Lonchura striata: one gene and its partners. The protein of the gene in region 3 interacts with the protein of the main gene of each other region in a pairwise test. Links are inferred from orthologs where the notes say so. Each region holds a gene or a part of one and is shown on either strand. Other genes may lie near its edges.

Region 1 (7,146 bases), on a different chromosome or scaffold from region 3:
TCACCCAAATTCCCCCATTTCCCACCCAAATGCCGCCATTTTCTGCTCCCACCCCTCCAATCTCAGCCACTCCTGAGGGGAAATTGGGGAGGGGGATTGGGGGTGAGACCCTCAATGTCAAAAACAGACACTTTTGTACACCCAAATTCCCCTTTTTCCCACACAAATTCTGCTTTTTTTCACCCAAATTCTGCTTTTTTTTCACCCAAATTCCCCCATTTCCCACCCAAATGCCGCCATTTTCTGCCCCCACCCCTCCAATATCAACCACTCCTAAAGACAAAATTGGGGAGGGGGATTTGGGGTGAGACCCCCAATGTCAAAAACAGACACTTTTGTACACCCAAATTCCCCTTTTTCCCACACAAATTCCCCTTTTTTTCACCCAAATTCTGCCTTTTTACAGCAAAAATCCTCCCATTTCCCACCCAAATGCCGCCATTTTCTGCCCCCACCCCTCCAATCTCAGCCGCTCCTGAGGGGAAATTGGGGAGGGGGATTGGGGGTGAGACCCTCAATGTCAAAAACAGCCACTTTTTTATACCCAAATTCCCCTTTTTCCCACACAAATTCCCCTTTTTCCCACACAAATTCTGCTTTTTTTCACCCAAATTCTGCTTTTTTTCACCCGAATTCCCCCATTTAATACACGAATTCCCCCATTTTCTGCCCCCACACCTCCAATCTCAGCCACTCCTGGGGGTAAAATTGGGGAGGGGGATTTGGGGGTGAGACCCCTCAATGTCAAAAACAGACACTTTTTTATACCCAAATTCCCCTTTTTCCCACCCAAATTCTGCTTTTTTTCACCCAAATTCCCCCATTTCCCACACGAATTCCCCCATTTTCTGCCCCCACACCTCCAATATCAACCACTCCTAAAGAGAAAATTGGGGAGGGGGATTTGGGGTGAGACCCCTCAATGTCAAAAACAGCCACTTTTTTATACCCAAATTCCCCTTTTTTCCACCCAAATTCCGCTTTTTTTCACCCAAATTCCCCCATTTCCCACCCAAATTCCCCCATTTTCTGCCCCCACCCCTCCAATCTCAGCCACTCCTGAGGGGAAATTGGGGAGGGGGATTGGGGGTGAGACCCCTCAATGTCAAAAACAGACACTTTTGTACACCCAAATTCCCCTTTTTCCCACACAAATTCTGCTTTTTTCACCCAAATTCTGCTTTTTTTCACCCAAATTCCCCCATTTCCCACCCAAATTCCCCCATTTTCTGCCCCCACCCCTCCAATCTCAGCCACTCCTGAGGGGAAATTGGGGAGGGGGATTGGGGGTGAGACCCCTCAATGTCAAAAACAGACACTTTTGTACACCCAAATTCCCCTTTTTCCCACACAAATTCTGCTTTTTTTCACCCAAATTCTGCTTTTTTTCACCCAAATTCCCCATTTCCCACACGAATTCCCCCATTTTCAGCCCCCACACCTCCAATCTCAGCCACTCCTGAGGGGAAATTTGGGGAGGGGGATTTGGGGTGAGACCCTCCCCTGGGTGAAAATCACCTCGGGTTTTCCTCAAATTCTGCTTTTTCCACCCAAATTCCCCTTTTTTCCACACAAATTCCCACTTTTTCCACCCAAAATCCTCTAATTTCCCACACAAATTCCCCCATTTTTCCATTCCTCCAACCTCAGGAAATTTCTGAAGGGGAAAATTGGGGAACTGGGATTCAGCTGATCCCCTCCAATACCAAAACCTCCCCCTTTTCTTCCAAATTCCCCAAAAAATACCAAAACCACCTCATTTTCTCCCAAATTCCCCTCAAAAATACCAAAACCTCCCCCTTTCCTCCCAAATTCCCCTCAAAAATACCAAACCCACCTCATTTTTCCCCTCAAATTCCCCTCAAAAATACCAAAACCTCCTAATTTCCTCCCATATTCCCTTCAAAAATACCAAACCCACCTCATTTTTCCCCCAAATTCCCCTCAAATAACACCAAAACCTCCCCCTTTCCTCCCAAATCCCCTCAACCCCCGCTAAAATCCCCCCCAAATCCCATTCCCCCCCTCACACCGCCCCATTTTTTCCCCTTCACCTCCTCGCGGTGTTTGACTTTCAGTCTCCAACCCCTCCAAACCCTTTTCCTCTTATTTTCCCCAATGCTATTTCCACCCTCAGCCCATCGCGGGGGTGATTTCTTTTATCCCGAGGGGGTAATTTAATTTAATTTGATTTCCGGGGGGTACCCTCACCCGTTCCCGCCTTTTCTCCGCCTCGTGCTCGCGGTTCGGCGCCGCCTCCTCGGGCGGCGGGAACAGCGCGGGCGCCGCGGGGGGGGCCGGGCTGCGCCCCCCGAGCCGCGCCCGCTTCCGCAGCACCTCCGTGCGCACCTGGCGGGGCACAGAGCGGCCTCAGGGACCCCCAAATCCCTCCCCCACCCCAAATTCACCAAAAGATTCCCCCCCCCCCCCATATTCCCTTCCCCATCGAGCTTTTTCACCCCCCCTCCCCTCCTCACAAATTTACCCATCCCGGGTGTTTTGCCCCCCTCCCCCCCAAATCTCATCCCACTGACTTTTTAAACCCTCTCCCATTTATTTCGCTAAATTGTGTTTTAAATTTATTTTGCCCCCTCCTCAATAAAACAACTTTTTAAACTCAGTCCATCCCCCCCCCCGCCACCCCCATAGATGGAAATGGTTCGCGCCGCCCTACGCCAATCGCCCCAAGTCATGCCAATCACCCCAAGCCACGCCCCTAATTTATAATATATTCAAGGCTTCTCATGCTGATTGGCTCCTCGCTACCCAGCCCCGCCCCCTTTCCCCTCCCGACACCCCCCCCATTATCCCTCAGCACTCGCCTCCTGCTCCGCCCGCAGCGCGCGCGCCTCGCGTTTCCTCCGCTCCACCTCGGCCGCCGCCTCGTCCCGCCGCACCCGCGCCACATTGTCCTTGTTCCGGACGTGCCACGACTTCTTCGGAAGGATGTTCATGGCGGCGGCGGCGGCGGGACAAGGCCGCGGCTCTGAGGCGCCGCGGCCGCAGCGGCTTCACTGCCTGCCTCTTTGTTCTGATTGGTCGAGCACCTGTCACTCCGCCCTTTCGCGCTCTCTGATTCGCTCAGGCTTTTGCTCCGCCCCGTTGTCGCGCTCTGATTCGCCGAGCGCTGTAGTCCCGCCTTTTACCCCTCCTCTGATTGGCTCACCCGTCTCCCTCAGCCGGGCGAGGCCGGAAGTGGCGTTTCCCGCCTTGCCGCCATATTGAGCCGTGAGGGGAGACGAGAACGTCTCTGTAACTTCCCCCAAAAACCCCCTCGGGACGCCCCAAATCCACCCTAAAACCCCTCAGGGAAGGCTCAAAATCTCCTGGGGAACTCCCGGCCCGAGTTCTTTGCACATTTGAAGGATTTGCCTCCAGCTTTGCCTCATTTCCCTCCGAGATTCCCCTCAGGGTGCCGCAGGCTCAGGTCAGTTCAGGGAGATTCGATCCATTTCTTACATCCGGCTGCATTTAAATGTGTTTTATTCACTCTTAATGTTTTGCGAGGCACTTTCGGGGTCCCCACACGCACCAAACACACCCGGAGCGTCACTCAAAGCTTTTATTGGTCTCAATTTTAGGGGGGCTCTTTCCAAAAAACAGCCCCACACCCCTAAAAAAACCCCCAGGGGGTGCCCACAGCCCCCCAATCCTCCCCATTCCTGATTATTGGGGTTCAGGGGGGGTGAGAACCCCCTAAATTCTCATTTTTGGGGTCCCTCCTCTTCCTCACCCGGGGGTCCCCCCGATCCCAATTTCCAATTTTGGATTTTGGGGGTTCAGGGCGTTTTTTCTCCCATTTTCCACTGGGGTTCCTCCCCCCCCCCCCACAGAGTTTTGGGGTGCTGCCTCCTCATCCTCACCCCAAATTTGGCTCTTGGGGTTCATCCCCAGCCCGGCCCTCGGGGTCCCTCCTCTTCCTCAGCTCCCCAGCATCACTTTTGGGGTTCCATCCCTCAGAAATTTGGGGATTTTGGGGCTCCCCGCCCTCCTGAAATTTGGGGTTCGAGGGGTCCAATCCCTCAGGGGTTTTAGGATTTATAGGATCCCATCCCTCATGGATTTTAGGGTTCAGAGGCTCCCCATATTCCTGAATTTTAGGATTTAGAGGCTCCCATCCCTCATGGATTTTAGATTTTAGGGGCTCCCCACTCTCCTGGATTTTAGGATTTAGAGGATCCCATCCCTCATGAATTTTAGATTTTAGGGGCTCCCCTCTCTCCTGAACTTTAGGAATCAGGGGCTCCCCAAATTCCTGAATTTTAGGATTTATAGGGTCCCATCCCTCATGAACTTTAGGATTCAGGGTCTCCCCACATTCCTGAACTTTAGGATTCAGGGGCTCCCCACTCTCCTGAATTTTAGGATTCAGGGTCTCCCCACATTTTTGAATTTTAGGATTCAGGGTCTCCCCAGCCTCCTGAATTTTAGGATTTAGAGGATCCCATCCCTCATGAATTTTAGGATTCAGGGTCTCCCCAACCTCCTGAATTTTAGGATTCAGGGGCTCCCATCCCTCATGGGTTTTAGATTTTAGGGGCTCCCATCCCTCATGAATTTTAGGATTTAGGGGCTCCCCACATTCCTGAACTTTAGGATTCAGGGGCTCCCCACATTTTTGAACTTTAGGATTCAGGGTCTCCCCAGCCTCCTGAATTTTAGGATTTAGAGGTTCCCATCCCTCATGGATTTTAGGATTCAGGGTCTCCCTAGCCTCCTGAATTTTAGGATTCAGGGGCTCCCATCCCTCATGGATTTTAGATTTTAGGGGCTCCCCACATTTTTGAACTTTAGGATTCAGGGTCTCCCTAGCCTCCTGAATTTTAGGATTCAGGGGCTCCCATCCCTCATGGATTTCAGGATTCAGGAGCTCCCCACCCTCCCCCTCACAGCGCTCCCGCCTCCTCCTCACTGTCTCCTCCCCTCCCCCGCACTCCCCCTCACGCCCCTTTTCCCGCCCTTTTCCCCTCCCCTCTTCCCGCCCTTTTTCCCTCCCCTCTTCCCGCCCATTCTCCCGTTCCCGCCCATTCTCCCGTTCCCGCCCATTCTCCCATTCCCGCCCATTCTCCCATTCCCGCCCGTTCTCCCGTTCCCGCCCGTTCTCCCGCCCGTTCCCCCGTTCCCGCCCGTTCCCCGTCCCCCTTCCCCGCGCTCCGCTGCCCGCGGCCGCCAGCAGGATGAGCAGCGGCAGCACGTGGAGGCAGAAATGCACCGAGGCCCAGTAGCGCAGCGTGTCGGCGGCGCCGCGCAGCACGAAGCCCACGCTCAGGTACTCGAACGCCCTCATCTTGAGGAACCACTGCGCCCCGCGCAGCGCCGAGCCCCTCCAGCCGCCCAGCCGCTCCAGCGGCGCCCCGAAACGCGCGCCCAGCGCCGCCTCGGCCGCCGCCTCGGCCGCCAGCCACAGCGGCACGCTGAGGAACGACAGGTACTGCCCGCCGTGCAGGCCGTGCCAGTACGCCGAGGCCAGCATGGTCCAGGCGTTCCTGCAGGGGGGAGGTTTTTGGGGGGAAAAAAGGGGGGAATGGGGTCAGGGAGGTGTTTGAACGGTGTTGGTGCGGCCTCGAATTCGGCACGAGCGGTATGAAGTTTGGGTTGTGCGCTGCGAAGTGCAGCTTGCTCCACAGAAAGTTCAATTTAGGCACCCAAAATGGAGTTTGTGCCTCTCAGAGTCCAGCCTAATAACCCAAAATTCAGTTTGTGCCTCTCAGAGTCCAGCCCAAGCACCCAAAATTCAGTTTGTGCGCTGCGAAGTGCAGCTTGCTCCACAGAAAGTTCAATTTAGGCACCCAAAATTGAGTTTACGCCTCTCAGAGTCCAGCCCAAGCACCTAAAATTCAGTTTACGCCTCTCAAAGTCCAGCCTAATAACCCAAAATTCAGTTTACACCTCTCAAAGTCCAGCCTAATAACCCAAAATTCAGTTTGTGCGCTGCAAAGTGCAGCTTGCCCAACAGAAAGTTCAATTTAGGCACCCAAAATTCAGTTTACAACTCCCAAAGTCCAGCCTAATAACGCAAAATTCAGTTTACACTTCCCAAAGTCCAGCCTAATAACGCAAAATTCAGTTTACACCTCTCAAAGTCCAGCCTAATAACCCAAAATTCAGTTTGTGCGCTGCGAAGTGCAGCTTGCTCCACAGAAAGTTCAATTTATGCACCCAAAATGGAGTTTGTGCCTCTCAGAGTCCAGCCTAATAACCCAAAATTCAGTTTACACCTCTCAAAGTCCAGCCCAATAACCCAAAATTCAGTTTGTGCGCTGCAAAGTGCAGCTTGCCCAACAGAAAGTTCAATTTAGGCACCCAAAATTCAGTTTACAACTCCCAAAGTCCAGCCCAAGCACCTAAATTTCAGTTTACGCCTCCCAAAGTCCAGCCTAATAACGCAAAATTCAGTTTACACCTCCCAAAGTCCAGCCTAATAACCCAAAATTCAGTTTGTGCCTCTCAAAGTCCAGCCTAATAACCCAAAATTCAGTCTACAACTCCCAAAGTCCAGCCCAAGCACCTAAAATTCAGTTTACGCCTCTCAAAGTCCAGCCTAATAACCCAAAATTCAGTGTACACCTCTCAAAGTCCAGCCTAATAACCCAAAATTCAGTTTACGCCTCTCAAAGTCCAGCCTAATAACCCAAAATTCAGTTTACACCTCTCAAAGTCCAGCCCAATAACCCAAAATTCAGTTTGTGCCTCTCAGAGTCCAGCCTAATAACCCAAAATTCAGTTTGTGCCTCTCAGAGTCCAGCCTAATAACCCAAAATTCAGTTTACGCCTCTCAAAGTCCAGCCCCAGCACCCAAAATTCAGTTTACACCTCCCAAAGTCCAGCCTAATAACCCAAAATTCAGTTTACAACTCCCAAAGTCCAGCCTAATAACCCAAAATTCAGTTTACACCTCTCAAAGTCCAGCCTAATAACCCAAAATTCAGTTTACGCCTCTCAAAGTCCAGCCTAATAACCCAAAATTCAGTTTACAACTCCCAAAGTCCAGCCTAATAACCCAAAATTCAGCTTGCACCTCTCAAAGTCCAGCCCCAGCACCCAAAATTCAGTTTACATCTCCCAAAGTCCAGCCTAATAACCCAAAATTCAGTTTACACCTCCCAAAGTCCAGCCTAATAACCCAAAATTCAGTTTACAACTCCC
Region 2 (7,687 bases), on a different chromosome or scaffold from region 3:
ATTCACTGTATGGCTCCTACTTCTGAGAATAATGTTCTTCCTTTGCATTTCCCAGGGTTTGAGTTATTGTTACTTTTGATAATAAGCAGGTGTTTGAACACTGAGGCTACTGATGTCTTTGAATATATTTTGTCAACAGAAATAAAAGCTTGCTAGTAGCAGCACTTCAGGAGGTGGACTGAAGATCTTGTCTGTGGTCAAAAAAGGTAGCAGAGTTGCAAGAAAATATACATCACAAATAAGTGAGGAGGTTGGGGAGAGCATCTGAATACAAGTTTTTTTAACTTGTGTGCCTGTTCATCAGGAGGACTTCAGCTGTGGCTATGTGAAGTGAACTGCCATGAGAAGGAGGATCTTGTGGCAGAAAACTGGCTCAGGGCACTTGCACAGAAGTTAAGGGTTACTGAAAATAAACAACTTTGTTCTGCAAAAAAAAACCTTACTATGAACTGAGATCAGAATAAGGCTTTCAGTTATAACATATTTAATTTAATTCAAAAAGTGGTATCACAGGGATGCATATTTTGTTTCTTGTCTTCTTGAGATATCTGTTCCATGCTGAAAAGTACTTCTACAAATGTGAATGCTTACAGAGACATAAAAGTGAGAAAAAGAAATACCAGGAACTGATCCTTTCTGAAACTTGTTCTATACTGATCAACTAAGTATTAAAATGTTTCTGCCTGGATATTATTCAGGTACTATAATTTTTACAAAATGAACATGAAGCTATCATTAAAATGGAAACTTCTGTCTCCTCATTAACTACTAAATGCATACCAAGAGCTAGTAAAGGGTACAAATAAACAAAATGTTTGGTCTGGAAGAAAAGTGACGTGAGAGGGAGAATGGCATGTTGAACAGTAAGGAGAACAGTAGCAAAACCAGCAAGTCTGAAGTGAGGTGCTGTCAGAGACCTGGGATAATTCTAGGTGAAAGAGACAGTGTGCTGTGGAGGAAAAGCCCTGCACCTTGCTCGATTAAAGGAGAGATGCATTAGAACTGGTCACACCATTCTGCCTCCCAAGTCCTCCATGGGAATGCACTCTGCCCCGTATCACAGTAAAAAAGGACATGAAAGTAAGTTTGTTTGCTGTAGCAAGTGGATCAGTGTCTCTGCCCACACATCAGTTAATGTGAGAAGGGTTTTTCAGTTTGCACATGAACCATGTTAGTTGCTAAACAAGGTGTGAGATGCAATGCTAATTCAAAAGTTGCCTTTGAACACCACTGAGAGTTTCAGTGTTGGTTGCCCCCAGTTTCAGGACACTTTGCCTAGTGAACCACTGCCAGGCAGCCAGGTTCTGGGGCAATTCTCAGCCAGAGCACTAACACCATCCCATGTGCTGTCTGAACATTAGCCTTGCTCTGACCTGTGCAAGCCACCACCTGTGTACCACTGCTGCTGCTCTCACAGTTTAACTGTGGCATTTCTCCATGTCAGGATTATAGACAAATCCCCCGAACACTTCCATTTTTATCAGCTTTTAACACTAAAACCCACAGAGGCAAACTGGAAGTGATGATTGTTCATGTGCCTGCGCAGAATATTGTGGCAGGCAGATGTGACAGGCCAAAGTATGTCTGCAAGACATCACAAGGCAAATCTGCTTTGCCTTTAAAAAAAAAAAAAGATGAAAGGAGAAGCAACTGTGTTGGTGTGGCACAAGGCCTAACCCATTGTCACTCTTCCTCTGTGTCAGGTTCCCCATTTGTCCCTTCCTTTGGACAAGGTATGCATGTGCCTTCCCTCCCACCTTCCTGCCCTCCCCTCAGCATTGTCTCATTCCACACCACACTCAAAGCAGGTTCCTGTAGCTCTCTTGCTGACTGCTCTATTTGTCCCCAACTTGCTATTTCTCTTCTACTCATTGTTATTTTGCAGATCTCCTTTCTTCTACCCACCAACCCAACAGTACTCCATTTCTCTCTCCCTTTTTCTCCCCTCTCCATTGATTTGTTTCATAAGAAATTAATTTTTAGTGATTGATAAAAACGTCTTCTCATATTTGTTCATTAATTAGATGTGTCAAAAGGTTTTCATGTCACACTCAAATGTACCCGCAACGAGAGTATGAAACTTCATAGGTTCAAACAAAGACCTAGATTCTAATTTTTAAACTTTGACTGCATTATGAACAGATCAATTACATATGAAAAGTGTAAAAAGGGAAATAAAAGTGCTAGTCCCTACAGAACAAGAAAATAATAAAATTTTAATTGTAGCAATTAAAACTTCGGCCTAGAAGGAACAGTTTTCTAAGCCCATCTTTTCTTTTTACAGAACTTTGTAATTTTCAGCTTCAGCCAATGTTCTTATATCAGGTAAAATTCCTATGAACCACAAGGCTGAGCTTTTATCAGACAGAAAGTCTACAAAGAAGGAAGTGTTTTGCAACACACCATGAGAATTTTCAGTGTTTCAACAATGCTAAAATGCTGTTTACTCATCACTACAGAGGCAGTTACTTTGAGCAAGGATCTTAGCATATTTTGGCAGGCTGAGGCATTTTCTCTGGGCTCCCCTTATTCTCTGCAGAGAGAGACCAGCATCACCACATTATTAATTTATCATCTGTTGCATTAAATAGTTTTTTGGAAATGCCACACCCTCACCAGTCACTATAAAGGAAACTTAAAGCATCACTTGAATACTTGAATAGACACAGTCCCTTGTAGTTATTATCAGGGAAGAACTATCAGTGTTAGAGAAGATGATTGTTGTCTTTGGATCCAACTGAAAGCTCATAAAAAAATCAGTGTTGGGCTACTTACAAAACACAGAGACACAAGGCTCCTTCCACACTCTCACTCTCCCGTATTAAATAGCTGCCATTCTTTTTCTTCTTGCTCAGCAGCTCTTCACAGGCTTTCTTTGTTATCTTTCCGTGAAAAAATGGGAATTCCATGGACCAAACAAAACAGGGTATCTTGCCTTTCAACGCAATTCCAGAGCAAGTCAGAAGCCTGTCATGAGAAGAAACCTTGTTCCAAAAGCAGCTGCTTGTGGGCATCTGAAGCTGGAGGTGCCAAGGACACACAGGAGCTCATCTGTGTTTTTTGCTGAACTGTCCCCAGTGAGGTGGGTGAGCTCTGCAGCTCGACAGCTCATGAGCTCATGGGGCAGGAAAAGGTTGGTCTACACTGGTCACAGTCCACATCAAAAAGGAAGACACTTTTGTCACATTATACCAGCAGAATTTTGGGTTATTTATCACACCTCTAAGCTATGAAATCACTAAGTTAACACTGAGGTGACATTTTTAACTTAAATTTATTGTTTAAAGTTGCTCAAAGCCCAGCAAGTAGGGTCCTATGCTTCAGGAGTGTCAGGACTGTATAGGGGAGGATAAAATTATCTAAAAGAACTCTTGTCTTTTTTCAGGTGATTTTGAGAAGAGAAAATAAGTGTGTGTGATATTTGAATCAACATCAGTCATGAAGCTATAGGACGTGCCAGAAAAAAGTTGGCAATTCGCTGTTCGTGCAGAGGTTTAAACAAATTTCCTCAAAATAAACTGTAGAATGACAAAAAGTATTTAATGAAGGAACAGTGTGAGATGCCAGGACTCCTGTCATCCTGATCACAGAGAAAAAAAATCTGTGAAAAAACCAGCATAAATACTGATGGAACACTGTAAGCAAAAACAACCATGTTTTTCATGCAGCTGTTACATTTGTGTTTTTTCTCTGACAACTTTGTACACACAAAAATCTTACGTTAACATTTGTGTGTTTAACTGAAACTTGATCATGCATCACACCGAGATAATTTCCAGGTGGTATCTTAGCTAGTTGAGGAATAAAGTAACTCTAAAAAGGTTCTGTTTTGTCTCAAAGAAATGTAAAAACTTAAGAAAGAAAGATATACCAAGAGAGAAACTGAGAAATGGCAAGTCCAAGGTGCTGCTGTTGCTGAAGTCTGTCCTGCAGTGACCACAAGTTTCTGATAAAACAAGTCCTGACCACCAAGAAGGTGAGCTTGTTTAGATATTTAGATCCTCCAGTTTCAGCTGTCTGCAGACAGTTGCATTTGGAATAAGTCCTATTTTATCCTCCAATGGGATGGGGATAGTGATATCAGGAGGGAAATATCCTGGTCTTGTAAGCATCTTGAAGAACAAACATCCTTATGTGACAAAGATTCACCTTCTCATCAAATGCACTTGTATTTTTCTCAGGTTAAAACTGTGGCTTTTTTCCTACACATTGTATAAATAAACATTTTCCATGAGGTATTGTGAGGTGAATAGCTTTTCCAGAAGCCCAGCTCTGCAAATGAAGAGCAGCAACTGCTCAGCACCGTCCTGCTTCAGGCAGGTTCTCTGCTTGCATTGAAAGGAAGGTGGATGGGAAAGAACTGCAAATTCCTCTTTTGAGAAGGTAATAAGTAGACATTCTTCACAATTTTCCCTGAAGGTCTCATTACCTAGGTGCAGAAATATAAGATGGTAGTTTCAGTAGATCTTGCAGATCTTAATGTAGAATTTACTTAAAGTGAAACAGCAACCACACACTACCTGCTGTCGGATTAGCAGAGTGTTTGATTAAAAAAAAAAAAAAATCTTAAGAAGGAGGACGTGCTTGAGGAGAAATGGGGCTGGGGTCTCCTTCCAGCAGCAATCACCACCAACTGGCCTGATCACCTTCCTCCTCAGTTGTGGGTACAGCTCCCTGAGAGCATTCAGGAATGAACATTGTCCTTTTACCTCAACCTTATCTGTCTGTAATATTCAAGTGAACCTGAGAATAAGATAGAATGCTTGATTTACAAGCAGAAATCATTGAAATATATTAGAGAAAGGGGTCTGGGAGCGAGACAGTGTGGGTCTTAGATTTAGTCAAAGAAAGAAACTGAGACTTTCTAGCCAGGCAAAAAGCCTGGGAAAGAATGTAAATAATTCTTTATCTCTCTTGTTGTTCACATTGTTTATAGTTAAGTTCTATCACTGTGTGTCAAGCACTTTGCACCAATGCTGTGGGTTGTTTTCTCTTCAGAACCAATGGATTTGATCCTTGCAAAGCTCTGTATAAAAGAGCAGGGTATTTTGAATAAAGCAGTTTTACTCTCAGCAGCCTTCTGAGTCAGAGTCTTCTCATTCCCATCCTGTCTCTACAGCAACAAGACAGGAGAGAGGCTGTAAATATGGTTTGGTCAGTCACTAAATACATGTGGGTGTGGGTTTGTGTATGTGTGTGTGTTCGAGGGCTAATCCAGGGCAAAACCACACAGCTTCTGCCAAAAACACAACAGGGCTTCTATTCTGTTTGGGATACCTGTTGGTGGATGCTTGTGTAACACCTGGCAAGGGGGGATTTCCTTGTCAGACCTCAAAGAGCTGCACCATGAGCCTCACCACAACTCGTATGCACAGCATGGAATCTTTACAGTGCCTGTAGGAGTCACATAACAATATATTTCCATGGGCCTAATGTAGCCTAATGTAAACTCTGAGCAGACATTTCCTAACACAAACATTTCCACCTTAACAAATCTCACAAGTATTTTTGGCTTGCACAAACCTGCATACCCAGGCAGGTCTGAAGAGTGGTAAGAAATATGACCTGATGATATTAAGTCTGATTAAATGTGTGATGAGAAACCTGGGGAGCTGGAAGCAAACTGAGCAATAGCTCTTGTTAATCTGTGCTTAAAGTAATTTTATTTACTCCACTCCAAAATAAAATAGGGTTGTTTTTTATTCCTCATCCACTTAAGGAGATTTCATAGTTCCTAGGATAGCCTCCTGCAGTGACTATCCTTTCAGGTGGGAGAGAGCAGGGGAAAACCAAAGTCCTTTTTCCTGAAAGATTCAATCTTGGCCTGCTTCTACCGTAGCAGGGTGAAAAAACATAGTTTCCTAAAAATCCTCTGTTTGCTAAAAATCTGTGTGTCAAAACAATCACATCCTTCAGTCAACCTTATGCTTTCTGAAGTTAATGCAATCACTTCTGAAGGAAATCTTTTTCCATAAGCCACCTTTTCTTGCATAGTTCTCTTTTCTCTGGGACCGGTTTGGCTACTACTTCTATAAAATTTGATGCCTATAAATAAGCAATTCTTCTGATTAGAAGAGGAGGATAGTTAGCCACTCTTCCCTTCACAAATAGGTGTTAGAGAAACGAGACCTGCAACATTTTGGCAGCAGTGCTAAGCCATATGGGTTTTCTGCCATTCAGCTGCCTGGACTAATTTTCTTTTCTTTTTTTTTTTTTTTTTTTTTGACTCCTGTTATTGTAAAACTTAGCAAGGCTATTTCACAGTGACAGCTCATGTCGACAAGCACAGTTGGAGCTCTGGTTCTGCAATGTCTCCCAGCTGCAGCTCTAGCACAGCAAAGCTCTTGCCAGTGCCTTCTGTAAGAACAGGAAATCTGGGGAGAAGGGTCAGCTGTTCAGTAAATTATCAGTGTGGGATATCAGGGCTAAATAAAAGCTCTGCTCAAGAGCAAAACCAGCAAGGAACTGAAGGTCATTTGTTTATCTGGCCAGAAAGATAAAAACAGCCACAATGTAAGAAAACAGAAAGTAAGTTGAGCTCTAGCTAAATCTGCAATTTGAGCTGTGTTGCAGTCCCAGCTTACTGGAACTAAGTCCTGTGGCTTACTCTACCAACAGAACAAGAATGTTTTTGCAAGAACTGTTACAGCAAAAAATTACATTTAATTTCAATTTACAGCTTTAGCATGATATCTACACCAGGCTCTACTTTTGCAATTTACTGTGCCTGGATACAAAGGGATTTTTTTGGTAGGATCTGTTGATGGCAAGATTTACTTGAGACTGAAAGTAAAATCATAATGATGCAAATTCAAGAAGAAAATTGAACTAGTGTGTCTATTACTTAGAGATTGCTGCTGCAGCTGTCAGTGGAGCCTCAAGGAGTCAGAACTCTCTCATTAGCTGTCTAATAATATATAAACCTAGGAGGAAAAGCCTGTTTTATAACCTTCTTAACATACTGCCTGTTTTTTAAAATACAAGTAAAGAGAAAATGGTAGTTCAAAATGAACTGAGAATGGTAGTTCAAACTTGTCTGTGTTAAAATTTGAATTAAAAAGTCACGGAGCCAAACAATTAAAAAATGTTTACAAGATACATGAATATGTGTAAGTAGAGGGTTCTGGTCTCAAAATGATCTAGAATTTTGCTTAAATGTATATTTATAGGATAGAGTCATAAAACAGCAATTTCCTTCTCACTGGCAACCATATTGTCAGGGTTCAGAGTGATCCATATTCAATTACTCTCTGAGCTTATAATTACTCGGAGCTGTTTGTATTTAAGTGTTATGATCTGCCTCTGAGGCAAGGTAACTGAGGCTCTTGTTAAAAGATCCCTTGGAGTGAATTAGAGTGAAACAATACTGAATGACCAGTTTATATATGAGGCGTACTTATTTTAAAACAATTTCACTGCAACAGAAAGAAGGAATGTAGCCATTTTAGTTCTTTCCTACAAAAATATAAAAATGTGAAAATTCAGCTTCTAAGACATCATTCATTGGTCTCAAATGTCACATAAATTAATTAATGAAATGCAGTAAGAAATTATCTCAGGTCATGATGCCCCCAGATTACTGCCTTCCTGTTAAGAAATGTGCAAATAAAGCTGTAGGAAGTGACAAACCTCACTTGCACTTATTCACGTTTCTGCACTTCTGCTACATACTCCATCACATAGAACT
Region 3 (6,837 bases):
TCATCCCCACTCCCAGCAGGTCTCCTCTGCCCCACGGCACCCCATGGCCGTGCCCATCTCACTCCCATGAGGTCTCACCATGGGGAGAGCTCGCTGGCTTCTGCCTCGGCCCCACATCTGCAGCGGGAGAGAGGGAGCAAGAATGAGGCAAGGATGCCCCAGCACCCTGAAGGACACGTGCTGCCACACGGAGACCACGGCACAGCCGAAGGCTGGCACTGGACACAGCCCTGGGCAGTCAGGGCAGGCACTCACCTTCAGCAGCTTCGGGCACCTCCAGACTGTCCAGCCGGTCCTCGTCTGCTGCAGCCTCACTGCCGTCCCCAGGTCCATCCCCCTCATCCTCACCCAGGGGCTCTGTGGGCAGGGGACAGCTCAGGTGGGACCTTCCCTCCCTCCCTCCTGCATCATGGGGATACACTAGGGCATGCAGGAGGGAGGTGATGGAGCAGGACGCTCCAGGATGGACGTTCCTAGGAGGAATGTGACCAGCCCAGTGTGGGAACCAGGGAGAGCCTGGGCAGGACTGACCCTCCAGGGCCCCTGGGTGGAGCTACAGGTGAAGGTCACATCCCCAGTCCTGCGTGGGATTCCCACACAGGGCATGTGGTGAGGGGGGCTCCGCCTGGGGCTCTGGGCACCCCAGGCAGTCCCAGCACCCCCTCAGGACAGCAGCAGTTTCCCCAGTGCAGGCACCTGTCTGGAACTCGATGGTCCTCAGCATCTCAGCCACATAGTCCACGTTGATGGAGAAGTGGTCCATGTTCTCATAGCCAGGCTCAGGGCGGCTGCTCATTGATGCCTTGGACATGTCTGTGATCCTGCAGGGCAGAGACACCCTGGGAGCTGCAGGGTCCAGCACCCAGAGGGCCACCAGCCAAAGGTCTTTTCCCTCCATAGTCCCCACTCACTTTTTCAGGAGTTCCTTGGAGTGCTGTGAAGGAAAACGAGGCGGGATCAGTGTCTTCTAGACATCACCCCCACCACAGGTGGGGCACATCCAGGGGCATCCACAGATCCTTTTGGGTGAGCACAGCCCCCCGTTTAGACCTGTGAGCAGCCCCATGCCCCTCAGGGAACACCATGGCAGCACCACACAGCCCCCCTGTCCCTTCTCTCCCTGCTCCCCTGGCAGGACCTGCAGGTACAGGGCCATCTGGGGCTCCTCCATGGCCTGGATGGCTGACTCCACCAGCTTGGAGGAGGCCTCCAGGTGGTCTCCGTACTGGCGGATGAGCCCACGGACTCGCTGCAGCTTGGCCTCCTGCTCGGCTGCGATGCTCTGCAGCAGCTCCTTCTTGCGCTCCTCCAGGATCCCGTAGAGCGCATCAAACCGCAGCCCCACATGCTGCTTCTGCCGCCGGCCGTTCTCCTGCGGACAGAGCCAGGGCTGCGCCGTGTCCCCCCAGCACAGCCCCAGGGCTGGACACTGCCAGCGCACCACATCCCCCCACTGCCACAGCCCCGGGCCAGAACCCTCGGTCCCAACCTCGATGGTGTGGCAGATCTCCTCCATCTGTGTGATGATGGCCTGGATCCGGTCATTCCCCGCCACCAGCATGGCAATGCCATCGCTGAGCTCGCTCTGGCAGGAGAGGGGCTGGGTGTGAGGGTGGCTGTGCAGGCACTCTCAGCCCCCCGAGACCCCAGGGTCCCCCCACCTTCTGGCGCTGGTAGACGGCCGGCAGCGGGGCCACCTCGCAGTCCTTGTGCGCCCCGAACACCTTGCAGAGGGAGCAGGTGGGCACCTCACAGCGCAGGCAGTAGATGTTGATCCGCTCGTCCTCGTGCTCCTCGCACATCAGGTGCTGCTCAGCCTTGGCATGAAGGGGTCTACATGGCGGTTTGGGGTATCAGGTAGACACCTTGGCCCCAGAGGCACCCCAGCTTCAGAGACAGCACCAGCCCCGGGATCTGCCCAGCCCTCAAGACACCTCTGGCTCCCAGGGACCCTTCAGCTGCAGGGACACTGCTGGCAGCAGAAATACCGCTGGCCCTGGAGAGACCCGCAGCCCCAGGGATATTCCCTGGCCCTATATGGACCCCATGGCTCCCCAGTTCCTGCTGGGATCCCACCCCGAGCCCTCTCGCTGGGTTTGCTGTCACCCGCAGGTCTCGCCCTGCCCGCCCCGGGGTCCCCACGCCTCCGGACCGGGCCGACTCCTGCTTGTAGATGTCGATGATGTTCTCCACGAGCAGGTTCCGCTGCAATCCGTACACCCCGTGCCGGTCTAGCACCACCTCGTGCCGGCAGGACGGGCACCGGAACCGCCCGCCCGACGGCACCGCGCTGGAGCCCCGTGACTGCCACAGAGGGTTGGAGGCCTGGGGGGGTACGCGAGGGGTCACGGCGGCGGCACCCCGCACCCCCGGCACCTCCCAGCCCCGCGGATCTGCACCCCACAGCCCCCGGGACGCGCCCGGGCACGGCCATGGCACGGAAACAGAGGCGGAGACGGGCAGGAGCACGGACAGGACACGGGTGTGGAGACAAACAAGGACTCCTACACGGGCTCTGCTTCCCGTTCACCGTCTCCGCCGGCCGAGAGTGGCACCGGGCACAGCCCAGCCGGGATTGCCGGTGCCGGTGTCAGACCAGGCCCCTCTGCGAAGAGGATCCCGGTGCTCTGGTGCCGCCCGCCCCTCCGCCTCGCTGGCCGGGGATCCCGGGATAACGGGGCCACCACCCGCCGGACTGGGGTCCTAATGCCTAGGTCCCGGTGCCTCCCCGCGCCCCACCGGCGGGTCCCACCTGGAAGACGTCGTTGGCGCACTTGCGGCAGAGGTTGTGCTGGCAGGGCAGGATGACCACGGGCTTGGAGAACATCTCCAGGCAGATGGGGCAGATGAGCTGCTTCTCCAGGCTCTCCATGCTCCGCGCCTCCGCCAGAAGCGGCTTCAGCCCTACCGCGAAGTTCATGGCTGCGGTCCCGACCCGGCCCGGCCCGACCCGGCTCTGTCTCGCGGCTCCGCTCCGGCCGCCCGGTGCCCGCTTTGTTTCGGCCCCGGCCCCGGCCCCCGGCGCTAATTTTAGCCGCCCCCGCCCCGCCGGGGCCGCAGCTGTCGGCGGCGTCGGGTGACACTGAGTCACCGCTCCTGCCCACCCTAGGGACCGGCTGGTCCCGGGACCCGCTGCGCTTCGGGACCCGCTGATCCCCTGCCCGGGAGGAGGAGCGGCCGAGGCTCCGGGGACCGGGCCTGGCTGGTGCAGGGGTGCAGGGCTGGCAGTCATGCTGAGGAGTATGTGTCCCCCAGCAGGGCTGGGGGAGGTTGGGGTCCCGCAGATCCCACAGCCCAGTGCCAGCCCCTCCGAAGAGCAGGGTGGAGGGGCTGGAGCCAGGACACCCCCATCCTCACTCACCCTGGCACCCTGGCTATATTTAGGGAGTGAGGCAGAGCCCATGCAGCTGCGGGCAGTGGCAGTGACCAGACATGGGAAGAAAGTGCAAGCGGCTCACAGTGTCCCCCTTGGTCCCATCCCTGCCAGTCCTAGCCCTCCGCAGGAGAGCGGGGCAGGAGCAGGGGCAGTGCCGGCAGGGGGGAGCAGGGCTCCAGGATGGCAGCAGCAAGGAGAGGGAAGAGCAGAGCCTGCGGGAGCCAGCAGCAGGGGACAGAGCGGGACCCAGGTGGGTGACAGGAGACCAGTGACATTCACTACACTAGACATGACCATTCCACACAGGACGTGACCTGCCTACTGCACACCCCAGTTAGTCCCCACAGCACCCTGCAGGATCCATGGGCACAGCCCCCAGCATGGACAACACCAGGCAGAGGCACATCCTACCACCGACGGACAGAACCCAGGCACACACACTCCCCTCCCGTCGGCCTTTAATGGTGCCCACAAAAACCTAGACAAACCCAGAGGGCAGAGGAAAGGGGCACAGACAGGAGCACCCCAACTCCACAGCAGCGTTTGGCACCCAGCACCCAGCGGGAGGGCTGCAGGGGGGCAGCGGGCTCAGCCCAGCCCCAGAGGTTACAGTGCTAATGGTCTCGGACGCGCTTGGCTCCCTGCAGAGCTCGGCCCGGAGCGTCCCTGCTCGTGCCTGCTGCTTGCTGCCCGACCTGGGCACCGGCAAGGCACTCAAGGGGGCCATGGCAGCATGGGCTCCAGGCCACTGCCACCACCAGTGCTGGGGCATTGCCCTGGAGCTCGAGCAGGGGCCCAGGAGCCTGTGCATTGATGCTGGCCAAATTAACCTGAGATTATATCCCTCCCGAGGCTGATGAGCCAGTCTGGGGGGTGGGACCGTGGTCCCAGAAAGTGACAGTCCCAAAGGAGAATCCCTGCCCCGAGTCCTCAGGGAGCCGGCGGGATGGGGCCAGCCTCAGGCATCACTCCTGGTGCTGGCTGGCAGTGGGTCCGTGCTGGCAGGCGCGGGCTGTGCTATAACAGGGATCTGAGGATCTGGAAAGGAAGAGCTGCAGATCAGTGGCTCAGCCCCATCCTGTGGTGCCAGTGAGCAGGAATCTCACAACACTGCCTCAAGGGCCCCCACAGCCCAAAGCCCCCATACCCCTGCCCAGTGCAGAGGGCCATGGGAGTGCCCCGACCCCAAGGAAACCTGCAGGAGTCACCCAGCCCCACTGACACCAGTATGGCTGGTGCCAGGGAACAGCTGGCCTGGAGCACAGCTGCTCTTCCCGTGCTCTGTGTCCCAAAGGGCACAGGCCCCAGGGTCTCTAAGCTTCAGGCCTGTTCAGGGGGCCTGTGTCCAGAGGGAAGGAGAAGGTGTACCCATGGCCCGTGCAATGTCTGCCTGGCACTGTCACTGCCACCAGCCCTGACCCACACAGGAAACACCAAGGGCTGGCTGTAAGAGCTGTGACTAAAACCAACCCAACATCTGAGCCAGAACTCTGTCCCCCACACAAGATGGAATAAGGGGAGATCCCAGAGCCCCCACCAAGCAAACACAGGTGCTCCTAGCCACTGGCTCCCGCCTGACTTACCGCTGTCCTCTGCACACATCTGTGCCTCCAGGTCCTTGGGGTCCACATACTTGTAGGACTCATCCTCCTTGGGCGGGCAGCACGTCCCACAGCAGAAGAAGCAACAGCAGCAGCAGCAGCAGCAGGTGAGGGCTCCACAGCACAGCACCAGTGCCTGTGTCAGGGACAAACGTGCTGTGAGCTCACCCAAGTCCCTGACCCATCACAGCAGGGCTAAGACCCCACTCAAGCCACCAGCCTGCCAAACCGCTGAGCCAGTGACCCGCCAGCCCCGTCACGCCAGCCCCACGGACACCGGACGATGCCGGGCTCACCTTGAACCACCACTTGGACATGAGGAAGTAGTGCCGGACGGCATCGTCGCCGAACTGCTCGGCCACGTAGAGGCCGAGGGAGCCGTACTGGTCATACAGGCGGCGCTTGTCCGCGTCGCTCAGCGTGGCGTGGGCGCTGTTGATCTCCTTGAACCGCTCGGCTGCCGCCGGGTCATCGGGGTTCTTGTCCGGATGGTACTTGAGAGCCAGCTTCCTGTGGGGTGAACCGGGGACCCCCGGCATGGGCTCACAGCCTCGCTCCCCGGGACAGCCCACGGCCCCGGTAGGGACCCAGGACCCCCGGCACGGGTTACAGCCTCGCTTCCCGGAACCGACCCTGACCGCCGGGACGGCACCGGGACCATCCGGACGAGATCCCGGCCGCGCTCGCGGGACGGACCCTCACGCCCGGGCTCCCAGGGACCGCGCGGACCCCCCCGTACCGATAGGCCTTCTTGATCTCCTCGGGGGAGCTGCCCTTCTGCAGCCCCAGCACGCGGTACAGGCTCTCCCCGACCCGGGACAGCTTCCGCTGCGGCCGCGGGGGCTCCGCCATGGCCGCGCCGAGGGTCGCGGGGTCGGACGGGACGCGGCACCGACCGCCACGGCCCCGCCCCGCCGCCGCTTCCGCCCGCGCCGCCGCCGCTCTGCGCAGGCGCCGCCCGCGACCCGGTACAGGGCACGGCCCGCCCGGTGACACCGGTACAGGGCACGGCCCGCCCGGTGACACCGGTACAGGGCACGGCCCGCCCGGTACAGGGCACGGCCCGCCCGGCGACACCCGGTACAGGGCACGGCCCGCCCGGTGACACCGGTACAGGGCACGGCCCGCCCGGTGACACTTGGTACAGGGCACGGCCCGCCCGGTGACACCGGTACAAGGCACGGCCCGCCCGGCGACACCCGGTACAGGGCACGGTCCTCCCGGTACAGGGCACGGCCCTCCCGGTGACACGCGGTACAGGGCACGGCCCGCCCGGTACAGGGCACGGCCCGCCCGGCGACACCCGGTACAGGGCACGGCCCGCCCGGTGACACCCGGTACAGGGCACGGCCCTCCCGGTACAGGGCACGGCCCGCCCGGCGACACCCGGTACAGGGCACGGCCCTCCCGGTACAGGGCACGGCCCGCCCGGTACAGGGCACGGCCCGCCCGGCGACACGCGGTACAAGGCACGGCCCGCCCGGTACAGGGCACGGCCCGCCCGGCGACACGCGGTACAGGGCACGGCCCGCCCGGTGACACCCGGTACAAGGCACGGCCCATCTGGTGACACCCGGTACAGGGCACGGCCCGCCCGGTGACACCCGGTACAGGGCACGGGTGACACGCGGTACAGGGCACGGCCCGCACCACCTGACCCCGGTCCGGCGGCAGCAGGAGGCGGCACTCGGGGATCGCGCTGCTCCTTTATTGGTACAAAACGGCGGCGAAGAGGTGGTGAGGGCACGGCCGGGCCCGGGACGGCGCGGGTACCGGGGCAGACCCCCGCCCCCGGGATTCCCTGCTGCCGTCGGTGGTGGGGCCGAGGGGGGGGGGCAAGGCTGCCGCTGCCCTTTGGAA
Region 4 (7,936 bases), on a different chromosome or scaffold from region 3:
TCAATGTCACAGTAGTAACACCTGGCCATTTAGTTGTAAGATGGAGCAGTACAAATGAAAGATGGGAAAGATGTGTAGCTTTTAAGAACAATGATTGGTGGCTTACACAGGTGTAATAGGATGTTATGGCATTTTAAAGGCCTGATCCTTCTTTGGGAACATTTCTAGTACCTAAAAATAGCAGGGGCAGATCCTGAATACTTGAATGCCTTTTTTCATAGGCATTTTAGTGTTCAGACTCAGCAAGAACAGAGCAATATAGGATCTAAGTATCTTCTTGTTACTGTTGCCATGGGTCTGTAACCAGAGACTATAGAAAGGATGGATGAAGATACTTTGGTGTCCAATGATAGGGTGATACTTTATCCTCCAGCACACTGTATGCTGTACACCAAGATAAGATACCCATTCTCAAATTATGTAGTTCGAAGAAAAAGCCAGTGAGTGTCTGAAATACACATGAAGTAGCTGGTTTAGGCAAAGGACTTGTTTTAAAATATTCCAGCAAAAGTGCCCAAAGCTGTATGAGTGGTTTCTGTGAAACCTCTAGAAGCTCAGCACCCTGTAAACCAGCTACATCCTTATTTAATGTGAAGCACAGAACTTTGGCGGCCAAATTTATTTTTGCCTGAGGAGTGTTTTAATTAACGCTAGTAGGTCATTCTGACTAAAGAAGAGTGCAATTGCTTTCATCTTAATCTTTCACTCTTTAATTAGAGATTGGCCTAAAACCAAGCCAGAAGCCCACATATCTTCACACCCACGTATACTGGGCCAAAGTCATTATTGAATTACATGCTGTATCTCTCTATCTGTACACAATGCAAACAGTGACTCTTGGGATGTTTCTCTGTGACTCCAATGCTATAAAATTTGTCACCATGCCTCTATAAGTTTAGGTCAGGGGTTCAAGACCGGTATCTATAGATGTAGCCTGTTGCCCTTGCCTACAAAATCATAACCAAGCCCAGATGCTTAAAATAAGCCTTAGTTCAGCATTAAGTATTCTATCCATGTGAATGGCAGCTGTGGCAATAGAACTCAGGGAAAACATGTTTCCTGAGGAGCTAAATAGAAAATTAATAACATAATAGTTACAGAAGAATGAGAGAGAAAGACCATAAGGATATCTGGACTTAAAAGAATAGGGAGAGATCAGATAGCTGGCAAGTAGCAGCGGCAGAAGAAAGTTAGCAGATTTTTCTGTGGGCAAGAGACAGCATGCATAAATTGCAAAACAAGAAATTCTGATTGGACATATGGAAGCAGGTTGTCCAGAGAGGTTGTGAAATCTGAATCCTTCAAGATTTCAAAAGTTCATCTGAACAAGTCCCTGAGCAAGCTAATATTCTCCCAGCCTAGGCTGATCTGTCACCCCAACCAGCCACCACTGGTGCCCGAGTCATCTTCCCATCCTCTCCGTGGCATCTGATTAATTATGAACCCTGTAATTGTCTCTTTATACAATGAGAAATGTTAATCCTGGGTTTTGTTCCCTCTCCCAGTTTTATTAAGACCATAATAAGGAATATTTTTTCTTGACCCCTGTCAATTTAGACTGAAAATTTGGGTAAAGGTATGATCTGTCTCTTGATTACTGTGAGGGCTGGTGGTCACTGAGACCACATGACAGTGCACATAATACTGAATGAGCTCAGTGAAGTCTCTGTCTTGAGCATTCTTTTTTCTTTATCCATATTTGTTCATTTTCACCTGAGTTGTAATAGGATCAGTATATGAGTTTTAGAAGTTGTCTGACATCACCAATCTCTGTGCACCTGTCTGCTGGCTGGTCAGATTACAGCTTTTTTTCCGCTCTGTTGCTTAGTGCATGACATTTCATCATCCCATTAAAACTCAAGAAGAGCTTCTCTGGGTCAGATCAAAGGTTCAATCACCATAATTCCAAAACTGAATGATGCCTCTTAAACACTTAAAGAGAAAGAGCAGAAGTAGCAGAATGAGTATACAGCATTACAACAACGTGTTTGTTGTTTGGTAGATGCTTCTATTTTCTAGAAATTGGCCACGGATGGAGCTTGTACAGCAGCAATTATAGAGGGTCACCGTTTTTAATAGCCCCTGGTAGCTCCAGACCACCAGGGGCTATGGGGCACCTGCAGCATCACAACTCAAGGTGCTGCTGGGTCACATACCCTGTAAATGAGGCCATTTTCCCATTTCTGTTCAGACAAGACCATTATCTGTGCAAGATCTCATTCTCATGGTAATTTTGTCTTCCTAAAAGAAAGACCACTCAGGTCTGGTTCAGTCAATACCATACATTCCTAGAAAACTTTCCTCAAGAAATAATTTAGAAACAGATTTTATCTGACAATTTAGAGTGTCCCCCAGCAGAAACAGTTCTACCCTCTCAGCAGGGCGCATGCCTCACCTCCCCTTCCCTCCCCCCATCCCCCATAGAGTGGGGGCCATATAGGACATATTGTCCTTGGCATGAAAAGTGATTTCTAGTCTATTTATAAAGAAAATCCTAACTAAGCGGTGCTGATGTGCCCACTTTGTTGTAGATGTGTCTGAAGCCATAATCTCTGGGAAAAAATATGAAGAGAGCTGTAAGGCAAGCAGCCGGAGCTTCATTGCTCAGCTGCCCTGGCTCTAAATTGGCAGGGACCTGTGTGGGGATTCAGCAAGGAGCAACACCACCCTCCCCAAAGCAATAAGCTATTTAAGCAGCACACTCTGTACTCTGGGCTAGCAGGAATTTACGTAACTGTGCAAAGCCATCGAGCCTGGGATCTTCTAAATAAATGCCACATTTATCAGTGTCTGAAGCACAAGAACATCCTACCTAGCCTTCCCCAACCCCATAAACCTGTGTCATTAATAAAGTCAGATAGCATCTTTTCTTTCTTTAAGGGTTAAGAGAGTAATCCACAGCCACTGCCAGGAAGAGGCAGAACTAAGCAGGCAACAAGGAGCCAGAAGAGAGATATAAAGCTACATCAATCATCAGAATGGACTGCAACAAGAGCATATGCATACAGTACAAGAAAGAAAGCGAGAGGGCGTTTTGTTTGGGTAGCTAATGTTCCCTGGACAAGGAGAGAAAAAATTTTCCTTTGGTTTTTAATGCCACTCTAAATATTTATAGCAAGATCATGTCCAGCTGGTGAGTTAGCAGCAGGGAGTAGGGAGGGAGGGTACATTTTCCCCAGCACCTCAACATCATTCTTGGGTCATTTCTTTACTTAAGAAGAAGGGAAAAGGCTGTCGATTGCCATGTTTACCCTCAAAGTGACTCATCTACAAGACTCAAATCCTGGCTCCTTCTCTTCCCCTCCCTCACTTCACCTCATACACATGTGAGCACACACACACAGATTGTGTGGGCAGCCTCCAAAAAGCTACATCAGCCAGACTGCACTCTGTCTTTAACATGGGGCTGGGTCTTCAGGGTTTTGATTGCCTTCAGGCATTTCACCACTTCAGAAAGGCCATGTACAGCATGCCCATGATGCAAAGCTGCCAGTTTTAGAGGAACAGGCTGTACACATCCCTGTGATCTGCTGCACCATGGACACCAAGGCAGGTACATCTGGAGGACTGCAAACACCAGCATGGCATGGGAGTTGATATGAGGGCACTGTGACTCCTAATGATTTTTGCTCATCTGCCTTGCTGTGACTAAATACAGACATGACTCACCCGTGAGCTTTGCCTTTGAAAATATGAGAAGGACTTTTGCTTTAACTTTGTGTTTCCCTGTTGTACTGATGCTTAGAAACTACATTTTGGATTCAACCCCACCCTAGAACAAAGGGAGAAATCTCAGCAGAGATGAGGAGCCCAATCCAGTTACCCAGGCAAGGGCAGCCAACTCTATTTCTCTTGAAACATGAAGGAATGTGGTATAGAGCTGGAACACATCACACTTGACCTGCTGAAGACCCTGACAAGTCACCAGCTGGGGTTCTGGAGAATCCTCCCCTGGCACAAGACATTTGAATGATCCCAGCCCTGAGAATGGATTTAGGCTCATCATCATAGATGCCTACCATGGGAGTGTTAAATGTGGGCACCTACGTGTGATTGAGGCAGCTGAGCACCTGTGGACACCCAGCAGTGCCTGGAGGACTGTTCACCTGCCCAAATACAGGTTGCACATACTGGTGACCTGAATTACTTGGCAGACTCAGTTGTATTGACTAGACCTCACTGCCTGCAAAAGGAGCTTAGCTTGTTCATGTGCAGCCATCTGCAGTGAGGGACCCCATCAAGGTGTGTGCCCTGGGGAGCTCTGTTCCACCCTGGGAATTACCACTCTGAAATCTTGGTTTCCAGCTTGCTACTCACTGCAGCAACCTACTCCAGTCCTCCCACCTGTAACACTGAGCTTCCTCAAGCCATCTGATTGAGATGTTCTTTGCTAGGGGTTTCAGAGAGCTGAGGTCCTTAGACAAAAGGCCACAACCTGGTGTTTTCTATATGAAATATCAAGCGGCATCATAAAGATAAATCGCTCCAAGAGTGAACTTCCCTTTCTGCTTGATGAAGGTAGCTGGGCGTTCCCTTCCCACCTTGGAGCAGTGCTGGATGCAGGGGTGCCAGTGCATCAGCGTCTCCCACCACACTGCAACAGGCTGATGCTCCATAGGGTGGAGACACTGTCCGTCCCACCGGAGTCCCTCGAAGCCCTTCTTTCTCCGCCTTTCTCCATGAAACGACGGTGACAGCGTAGCGCCAGGCATTGCAGACTGTTTACAGGCTTCTAGAGTTCCCAGGCACTTTAGGACAGCGTCCTGCCACTGTTTCCAAACGGACAGCCAGGACTTTTATAAGTGAACTTTCCTCTCCGTGTCTATTTATTATATGTAAACATTTGCCAGAAAAACACCACTCGGGCATGCTCAGAAGCAGCCAGGTCATTGCAAAAGGCAGCGGCGGCAATGTCACATGCGCTCGGAGCGCGGAGCGCTGCGCGCCTATTCTTAGCGCTGGAATGTGCACAATGCCGCGCAGCGCCCGGCAGCGGGCAAACGGACTGCGGCATAAACACGGCCAGAAATCGCCCTCTATGAGTCACCTACCTACCGAAAGAAACCTCCCGTGGGTTTATAGGTTTTTGTCCAGGCTCTAGCTGTGGAAAAACTCAGCAGAGAATAAACGACAGAGAGTAAGTGCATGCAGTGAAGGACAACAGAAGGTAAACGTTTCTACCCTTCGGTTCCACTGCAGGTTGAGCAGTTAAGCCATGACCGTAGATACTCATCATATTGTTCTGCGTGGTACCTAATTTAGTCATTGTGTGTCTGATTAACATAAAAAATCCACAGCTAAGCAGAGTTAATAAATAACTTTTAATGCAGATTCCCAGCCTCTAGGGTTCCATTCGTCCTGCTGCAGAGCTCAGCTCTGCCAGATTTGCATTCTTTGGGAGTGACTAACTCTAGAGGAAAGAGGCACAAGCTACTAAACTGCTAATACTTTAAAATAGTGAATAAATGTCTAAGTGCGTTTATTCAACATGATGGAAATGGACAAAACAATTGCTTCAGCCCTCCAGCTTTAATCCAAAATCAGTGAGATAACTTCAGTGCTTTTGCTTCTTGCCAATGACACAGGCAGTGCTGACCTCAGACTTGCAACCTATCTGATAACTTTATGAAAGTTTTAAAGGGTCTTAGCGACTTTTTGGCTTCTTTATTATTTTCCCACTGTGCTTAAACCATGTTCCATTTTTATGTGTAATAGTGAACGGATATTTACAGCAACATCAAAGTCCTTATTTGTTCCCTTGGAGCTGAATTTTTCAATAAAAGCTGCTAAGAACTTGGGGCTTTTTCTGCCAAGTCCAGAATTCATCTCTCTCATATTTTGCTATGGAAGAGGGATCCACTGAAGACTTTGTCTTCAAAGACCAGGACTTCTCCTCTGAACTGCTGAGGCAGCTGAATGCTCTGCGGCAGAGCAGGATGCTGACCGATGTTACCCTCTGCTCCGGGGGCTTTGAAATCCCCTGCCACCGAAATGTGCTGGCTTCCAGCAGTCCATACTTCAAGGCAATGTTCTGTAACAACTTCAGGGAGAGTCACCAGCCTAAAGTCATTCTAAAGGGCATCGATGCTGATATTTTGGATCAGATTATCCTTTATGTTTACACTGGGGAGATTCTAATATCCACTGAGAATGTCTTGTGCCTCTTGGAGACTGCATCCATGCTGCAGTACACTAAGCTCTTTGAGGCCTGCTCTACCTACCTGCAAGACAAGCTGACCCCTGACAACTGTCTGAGCATGATCAGACTGGCAAAAGTCTTGAACTGCCAAAGCTTGAATAAGAAAGCCAAGGCTATGGCTTTGAAATGTTTTCCTGTGGTGGCCTCTTCCGAGGACCTGAAGGACCTCTGTCTCATGGAGCTCATCGATTACCTTGGGGATGATGAACTCTGTGGGGAAGAGGAGCAGGTCTTTGAGGCACTGACGGTCTGGATCCGGCATGACCTCCAGGCACGACAAGGCTACATCCAAGAGTTGTTCAAGAAGGTCCGACTTCAGTACGTCCATCCAACTTTCCTCTTCCATTTCATTGCTAATGACTCACTCGTTCAGTCCTCACCCACTTGCAGGAGCATCCTGGAGTCGGCCCGGAGACAGATGTTTTCTTTGTACAGCACCAACACGCCTGACATCAAACCCATGATGCATGTTCCTCGCAGGTACTCCAACCAAGAATTCCTCATCATCATTGGTGGCAGGAAGGACAGCCAGCAGACAATGAGGGATGTCCTGCTATATGATGACAAGACGAGCCAATGGCTGAGCCTGGCCAAACTTCCCATGCGCCTCTACAAAGCTTCTGCAGTGAGTTTACACAGCAATATTTTTGTGCTCGGAGGGATGCCTGTTAGCAATAAGAAAAGTCTGGTCAGTGGTAATATTTACATTTACTCCCTCAAACTCAATCAGTGGAGGTTGGTTGAGCACATGCTTGTTCCACGTTACTCCCACAGAAGCCTGGCATATAAAAATTATATTTTATCATTCGGTGGAATTGGTGAAAACCAGGAAGTCCTGAATTCTGTGGAAAGATATGATAGTGTCTACAACACCTGTGAGAGCATGGCAAACATGCCTGTTGCTGTCCTTCACCCTGCTGTTGCTGCCAAAGATCAGAGGGTTTACCTCTTTGGGGGAGAAGATATAATGCAAAACCCTGTTCGGCTTATCCAGGTAATGGTCAGTCCTGCTTGCAATTCTTCTAAGGTATTCAGCAGTCTATCACCTTCATGAGGAAATCAAACCACTCAAAAAACTTCATTGTGTGTTGCAGCAAGAGGCAGGATGAGTTGATCCATGGCCTCAAGCAGCATTGCAGCTCTTTCATATTCCCCTTCTGAATGTTTCCCAGGCAGCAGCCCCAGAGGCACTGCTTTGGGTGTCAGTCAGCTGTGCCACTGGTGGGCCCTAGGGCCAGGGCTGCTGCAGGTGATGCCATGGCAGGCAGCAGCAGTTCCCCCTGCCTGGCTCCATGCCTGTAGCCAATCACACCAAAATCAGTGCTTTCCACTTGGCGCTGAGCTGGGGTCCCAGCCGTGCACCTGCTCGCTCGCAGCAAACGCAAACACTCACGATCATTAGAGAGATTAGATACTCACTCATCAAAGGGCCAGAACTTAAACTGACAGTCATTTTGGATAAACAGTTGTGTTAAAAATGTGGCTCCTGCCACATGTTGCTGGCTCTTTGCCTGCTTTCAGACATTACACTCTACTAGGAGGAAAAACATACCTTACATTTTTTCTTATCTGATTTGATGCTTTAGCAACATTGAAATGTTATTTTCTCATGAGTGTTTTTCACTGTTCAAAGTGCTTTAACTAAGAAGGATCATTAAGCTAAGATGGAAACCAGGACATGAGAAATGCTTTATAACAGTACTTCATTATCAGAGTGAAGGAAATGTATTTATCAGT

Evidence for each region.
Region 1: the proteins of TRIM54 (region 3) and LENG1 interact in binary tests that used the Homo sapiens proteins (3 or more experiments, as listed by UniProt). The two-hybrid records come from large-scale screens. The link is inferred for Lonchura striata from reciprocal best matches to the Homo sapiens genes TRIM54 and LENG1.
Region 2: the proteins of TRIM54 (region 3) and SH2D1B interact in binary tests that used the Homo sapiens proteins (3 or more experiments, as listed by UniProt). The two-hybrid records come from large-scale screens. The link is inferred for Lonchura striata from reciprocal best matches to the Homo sapiens genes TRIM54 and SH2D1B.
Region 4: the proteins of TRIM54 (region 3) and KLHL38 interact in binary tests that used the Homo sapiens proteins (3 or more experiments, as listed by UniProt). The two-hybrid records come from large-scale screens. The link is inferred for Lonchura striata from reciprocal best matches to the Homo sapiens genes TRIM54 and KLHL38.

The regions. Positions count from the first base shown.
Region 1 is NC_134640.1:2,371,409-2,378,554, reverse strand, and holds the start of LENG1 (leukocyte receptor cluster member 1), read right to left. Parts: upstream 3,011-7,146; 5' UTR 2,955-3,010; coding exon 2,823-2,954; intron 2,350-2,822; coding exon 2,212-2,349; intron 1-2,211. Other genes in the region: membrane-bound acylglycerophosphatidylinositol O-acyltransferase MBOAT7, read right to left, coding at 3,051-3,295, 4,318-5,486.
Region 2 is NC_134604.1:2,908,814-2,916,500, forward strand, and holds the start of SH2D1B (SH2 domain-containing protein 1B), read right to left. Parts: upstream 3,015-7,687; coding exon 2,776-3,014; intron 1-2,775. UniProt on the Homo sapiens protein: Cytoplasmic adapter regulating receptors of the signaling lymphocytic activation molecule (SLAM) family such as CD84, SLAMF1, LY9 and CD244. In SLAM signaling seems to cooperate with SH2D1A/SAP.
Region 3 is NC_134605.1:113,724,006-113,730,842, forward strand, and holds the start of TRIM54 (tripartite motif-containing protein 54), read right to left. Parts: upstream 3,007-6,837; 5' UTR 2,921-3,006; coding exon 2,753-2,920; intron 2,326-2,752; coding exon 2,153-2,325; intron 1,834-2,152; coding exon 1,662-1,833; intron 1,586-1,661; coding exon 1,490-1,585; intron 1,373-1,489; coding exon 1,139-1,372; intron 935-1,138; coding exon 912-934; intron 840-911; coding exon 697-839; intron 358-696; coding exon 256-357; intron 118-255; coding exon 79-117; intron 1-78. Other genes in the region: DNAJC5G (dnaJ homolog subfamily C member 5G), read right to left, coding at 4,335-4,414, 4,960-5,113, 5,274-5,487, 5,717-5,829. UniProt on the Homo sapiens protein: May bind and stabilize microtubules during myotubes formation.
Region 4 is NC_134603.1:12,475,106-12,483,041, forward strand, and holds the start of KLHL38 (kelch-like protein 38), read left to right. Parts: upstream 1-4,934; 5' UTR 4,935-5,137; exon of another isoform or gene 5,138-5,167; intron 5,168-5,715; 5' UTR 5,716-5,843; coding exon 5,844-7,193; intron 7,194-7,936.